Linked DNA regions of Saccharomyces cerevisiae S288C. The protein of the gene in region 2 interacts with the protein of the main gene of each other region in a pairwise test. Each region holds a gene or a part of one and is shown on either strand. Other genes may lie near its edges.

Region 1 (3,185 bases), on a different chromosome or scaffold from region 2:
AGTGGAAGCGTTGGATGATAGTTTCAAAGAGAAACTTTTGTACAAAATCAATCAAGAGCACAGGAAAAAACTTCAGGATGCTAGGGAGTACAAGATTGGAAAGGAAAGAAAGAAGAGGGCACTGGAAGAAGAGGCTTCGTTTCCTGAAAGAGAGCAAAAAATTAAGTCGCAACGTATAAACAGCGCTTCTCAAACAGAAGGAGATGAGTTGAAGAGCGAACAGACGCAACCAAAGGGAGAAATATCAGAAGAGAATACCAAAATAAAAAGCTCGGAAGTTTCTTCGCAAGATCCTGACAGTGGTGTTGCCGGGGAGTTTGCTCCACAGAATACAACAGCTCAACTAGAAAATCCAAAAACAGAAGATAACAATGCAGCTACTTCGAACATTTCTAATGGTTCATCTACCCAAGATATGAAATAAATTATCCTCTTAATAGAAATTTTAAACTGATAAGAAATTCATGCATAGTGTCCCAAACAATTCAGATAGATTTTAGCGTACCACAGAGATCCTATCAGAGAGTAATACTTATGATGAAAACAAAAGTCAATCCATTCGGTTTAAAAAAATGACAAACCTATATTTGATTAGATTAATCAGGCGTCAATAACGTCCTTAGAAGTCCCTTTGCTAAGACTGATATCGTTGGCAAAAGCATGCTCCGAGTTTAGTATATACTTCCACTTGATAAAGTTGTAGCGCAAAGGATGCTTTTCTTAATGAGAAATTCGGTATACTACAAGAGGACATCCAATCGTGCTTACAAAATTGCCCTGGAAGACATGATTGAGAAGAAATGGCGAAATATGTCTTTTGGTCAGATAGTCTGTAATCGCATATAACAGTATGCTTGGTTTGCTCTTTATCACCACGCTTTTCCTCTCTTTCCAGCGCGAACCATGCAATGGCCAGCTTTATGAAATTTAAACCATAAAGTCATATGAGACCAGCAATCAGACCATATATAGCCGTACTATGCTATAACGGATAATTTGATAGATACTAAACAGTTTTAGTTCACATTTCTCGTCTAAAAACAATTAATTTATTATAACAGACTCTATAGACTAAATTGTATGTATTTTTTTTTTTGACAAATTGGGGGCGGTAGCCTTCCAAAGTCCAAGTGAACTTATGTTCGTTTTGTCTTCTTTTCTAATGAACACCTTCGATAAAATTCCATAAATGACGGAAAATGGTTCTAGTTACCACCTCTTAGTGTTAATACCAAGTGGAGTTGCATTCCCTCTACTAGATGTGCATCCGTTACTGTTAATTTATCATCACTATCCTGGTCGTTAGTAAGGTCTCAAAAACGTAAATAAACTTAAAAGATAATTAACCACTGAATGAACATACATTTGTTTTCCCTGGAATATAAGTCTTTGTTGAGATGGTGGAATCCCTTCTTTTTCCTCCAAAAGTTCCTTGATGTGATATACGAGATCTGATTCCTTCAGCTCAACAGAGATCTCCTTCCCAGTCAGTGTCTTCACTTTAACAATCATCGGTTACGGCTGTAAGGAAGTTAATTACCTTCCTTTATTTATTCCTCTGTCGGAATACTTCATTTGAATAACAGAATTTTGGTTTTTCAGCTAAAAGTTGTTCGTTTGCCTTCCCGAAGACGCCATCGGAATTTGATTTCATATAAATATTGATATAATTATACTCTGAAATATAATATTGATAAACTTAACACAGGGTGAGAAAGGTGAAGTATGCTACCGACCCCTTATGTAAAATGCGATTACGATAAAGTATATGAGCCTGCTGAGGATAGCTTCCTCATACTGGACTGTTTGGAAAAAGAGCATGATTTTTTGAAACAGAAATTTGGTAATCGTTTGGCCATCGTTTGCGAAATTGGTTCGGGATCAGGTATCGTCACAACATTTCTAATGCAAAACAAAATAATACCGCAGGAAAATTCCATCCACTTAGCTGTTGATATCAACCCATGGGCGCTCGAAGCAACTTTGGATACTGCGAAGTTAAATTCATGTAAAAGTTCTTTTTTAGAAGTGATTCAAGCTGATTTAAACTCCAGTATTCGGAATAATCAGGTTGATGTCCTAATATTTAACCCACCATATGTGCCAGCAGAATGTGTGCCAGATGTCCCAGGATCAAGAGAGGAGGCAGACCAATGGCTAGATTTAGCGTTATTGGGTGGAAAAGACGGGATGGCGATTACTGATAAACTGCTACGACAATTAGAACAAATTCTTTCTCCAGATGGTGTTGCATATATATTATTTTGTGCAAGAAATAAGCCTAAAGAAGTCATTAAGAGGTTTGTCGATACTTACAAATGGAATGTGAAACTTATTGAAACGAGAAAAGCGGGATGGGAAGTCCTCAGTGTGTACAGCTTTACAAGGTGACAGTTGCAAAACCTTTCACGTTATAATTGATAACCTGTGTCTTTACTCAAAGCGTATAACTATATTTCGGTTTATAAAGAAAAATTCATAGCTATGCTCATGACAGAATATCTTTTTTGAGATCTTCACCACAACCATATAAATCAACTGACCCTAGTCCGTAAACTTTCTCATAATGTAGATAACTCAAATTCTGGAAGAAGCTTCTTAGTTGCGTGTGTCTCTCGATTTTGTGAATGCCTCGTAATAATGGGAGACCATCTTTTAAAGTTGTCGGTAATTCAAGATCATCAGTTTTGGTTATTTCGTAATCTTTGAATTCTGCGATTTCATCTACCAGCGCGACGAATGAGTTCGTTTTATATACGCAATTTATTGTATCAATAACAAAGATCCACTCATTCGTAGAGGTGAAGCCTTCCATGTTGAGTAAGAGTAGCAAATCCAAAGTTTTACATACTTGCAATATTGTTTGTGGATCGACTTCTGACTGTATTTGAAGTGATTCATAAAATTCTTGCAAATTAGTTTGTAAACAGTAACTGATCATAGACCAATAGTCATTGAAATGGGACTCTGAAAATCTTAAAAGTAAAACCCTTAGTAAGATCCAGCAGCTTCCCTTGAGCTTGATATCTTTGGACACCAAATAGTGGAAAATGCAACTTATTAAAGAGGAAAAGTGCAACAAATATGCGTCATTTGGCGATACCATCAACAAGTACGATATTTTCAAAAGGTTTTGGCACTTGTACTCGACTTCAGAATCGCTTCCTAAGTTAAACGTGATTAAA
Region 2 (3,118 bases):
CATCACTTTCCGCAACATCTATCTCTACACCATCTACCTCTGTGGAATCGACTATTGAATCTTCATCATTGACTCCGACGGTATCTTCTATTTTCCTCTCATCATCATCTGCTCCCTCTTCTCTACAAACATCTGTTACCACTACAGAAGTTTCCACTACTTCAATCTCCATACAATACCAAACTTCATCAATGGTAACAATTAGCCAATATATGGGCAGTGGATCGCAAACGCGTTTGCCATTAGGAAAGTTGGTCTTCGCCATCATGGCAGTTGCTTGCAATGTAATTTTCAGTTAATATCAGAACAATTTAATTCATTTATATAAACATATACAATCAATCGAATAAAAATACAACAATGTAATGAAAACGCTCTCTATTGATATGTATTTGCTGACGCTTATAAATTTATTAAAGTTTTATTTTAAACCGTTCTAGTGACTTCACGCGGGGAGATACATCCAATAGTAAATTACAAAATAAGGAAAGTATAAAACAAACGGATAACAACAGTAGCTTGGAGACAGCAAAGGCACCCGAGCAGGCGTGGAAACACACGATGCATTTGAAAAAGGGGAAGAGGAGTATTAGCACAGTATGGCGACTTTTATGGAAGCGTTTTTATTCCGTAAACTCTAAGACGAATATGCATTTTTCTCGAAGTAGGAAGAAACCAGTGACAAACTTCACAAGGACAAACGGACTTCTCCTGAGCTGTAATGGTGATACATTCCCATATCTGCGTACACTGTGGAGATACTTCAATGCGCCTGGTAATTTGATGTTTGTCACAACTAATATTGTCGCATTTATGGGCATTGTTACGTATAATACGCTGGTTACTATCAGCAGTGAAAGAGCATTCGAAGAGCAGATGATGGCGGCACAGGTGAGCCTGGCGAAACAGAGAGAAGAGCTCGAGACTACGGCCCTCAGCTTGCCACGAGATATTGAATTGAGGGGTGAAGAAGATGATATTAAATGGGAGCAACCTGATGTAGCACATGTCCGGGAAGATCCCTTAGTCGAGGAGCAGAACGCAAAGTTAGACACCCCTATAAAACAGTATACTTTAGGAGATTTGATTTTGAATAAGAGGGAAAATGTCACTGATTATGACTCGCAGCGTGCGAAGGCATCTATATTCCACATGCTATATGCTTATATGCTGTATCGAGATGTTATTCAACCCACGACCATGACTCAAAATAACAACAGCGAGGAATGGCGGCGTGAAGTCGAGCTTTTGACTAAGGGAAAAGAGGTACAAGGTACTCATCGAAGGATAGACGTGTTCTACGACCTGTGGAATAAAAATTTCGATAAGATAGTGACATCACCTGAGAAAGTGCAGAATTTTCAACTGCCGAACTGGTCTAAATACCCAACGATATTGAAATTCATCTGCACAGAACTTCACGACAACAGTTTGAAGACCTTGGGTGAGTTTAAGCAATTCTATGGAAAGGTGCGATCTAACGAGGTAAAAAAACTGTTGGGTCTTTGGCTGTACGACCATTCCTTCCTTTTCCCCCATAATATCTACGACAACAGAACCGAAGAAGATTTTTACGATATATTAATTAATGACTCCATGCAGGATAACAGGATATTCCAGAAATACTCTTCAATTGTAATGAATCCCTACAACGAACGTACTCAACTTTTTTTCCCTAATGTAAATTCTCCATCTGTCAACAAGCCAGTACCGAGCATATCTCTGGAAACATACACACGACTACTCAAGGGATATATCAACTTGCAAGAAACAGGCTGCAAATACGACTATAATGACAATATATTCAAACTAATCAGCATCCTCAAACTAAATTGTTTCCTACAACGCAACAAGAAGAAACACGCAGGGCCAACCGTCAGAATCCTACTGCCGAGAGATGAAGACCGCTCTCAAATACTTGGTACCATTTCGCAGGCAGAGAAGAGAACCTGTTATCAAATTCTAAGCAAAAATAGGGACGTGGTTGCGCTGCTGAAACGCATTTCTGATATCCAGGCGGACTCTTCTTAATAAAACATGTAAATATGTACCTCCCAAATCACACTCATCATCTCATACGAAACTGTATCTTTTTGGGTAAAATTTTCATCGATGAGCTTTAAAAGCAAAACTACTTCACCAGCAATGAAGCTACTGTAGCATCCTATGATCTCTTCGGCTCTACACATCATATTACTAGCCTAGTCAACATGAAGTTCTTAACCACCAACTTCCTAAAGTGCTCCGTTAAAGCCTGTGACACCAGCAACGACAACTTCCCCCTACAGTACGACGGCAGCAAATGCCAATTGGTACAGGATGAATCTATCGAGTTCAATCCAGAATTCCTTCTGAACATAGTCGACCGCGTAGACTGGCCTGCAGTGCTCACGGTTGCTGCCGAATTGGGAAACAACGCCTTACCTCCTACCAAACCATCCTTCCCATCTTCGATCCAGGAGCTCACCGATGACGACATGGCCATCCTTAATGACTTGCATACTTTACTGCTACAGACGTCCATTGCCGAAGGTGAAATGAAGTGTAGGAACTGCGGACATATCTATTACATCAAGAACGGCATTCCAAACTTGCTGTTACCTCCACACCTGGTATAAATCAAGCGAGATCTCTGTGTGTGGGCACGCAAGACGAAAAGACAACTATATACACAGCTATATATGTAGTAGTAGCCTCATATACGTATGGCATCAAACATGTAGCATAAACAACCTAAAAGGAAAACAAAGACTGAGATCTAACCCACCACAGTTTCTATTTGAGCCTTCCCGTCGCGCGTGATTTGGAGATACAGATTCTAAGAGCTTTAAAGAACGAGATACTCTCCTGTTTTAAGGACTCACCGGCATATAAGGCAGCAAAGTCGCCGGTTTGAAGGTTCAGGGGCCTTGAAGGTAGTATCATTTGGAAAACAGCAAGAGAATATGGCTGGACACCATCACGAACATGAACAAGAGCGCGACCACGAGCAAGAACACGAACACGATTCCCTTCAACGGCCTACTACTGGATCAGAAAGGACTAGAAGTATATCCTTTTCGAAGTTGCTTACGCGGTCATGGAAAAGGAATGCGAGTTCATCGAACAACATGAGTGT

What was found.
Region 1: the proteins of TRM112 (region 2) and MTQ2 interact in binary tests that used the Saccharomyces cerevisiae proteins (3 or more experiments, as listed by UniProt).

What each region holds. Positions count from the first base shown.
Region 1 is NC_001136.10:732,413-735,597, forward strand, and holds MTQ2 (S-adenosylmethionine-dependent methyltransferase), read left to right. Parts: upstream 1-1,725; coding exon 1,726-2,391; downstream 2,392-3,185. Other genes in the region: HPR1 (Hpr1p), read left to right, coding at 1-424; NEDD8 family protein RUB1, read right to left, coding at 1,206-1,290, 1,364-1,512; DOP1 (Dop1p), read right to left, coding at 2,489-3,185.
Region 2 is NC_001146.8:705,578-708,695, forward strand, and holds TRM112 (RNA methylation protein TRM112), read left to right. Parts: upstream 1-2,210; coding exon 2,211-2,618; downstream 2,619-3,118. Other genes in the region: AGA1 (Aga1p), read left to right, coding at 1-299; PET494 (Pet494p), read left to right, coding at 562-2,031; serine/threonine protein kinase FPK1, read left to right, coding at 2,946-3,118. UniProt on the Saccharomyces cerevisiae protein: Acts as an activator of both rRNA/tRNA and protein methyltransferases. Together with methyltransferase MTQ2, required for the methylation of eRF1 on 'Gln-182'.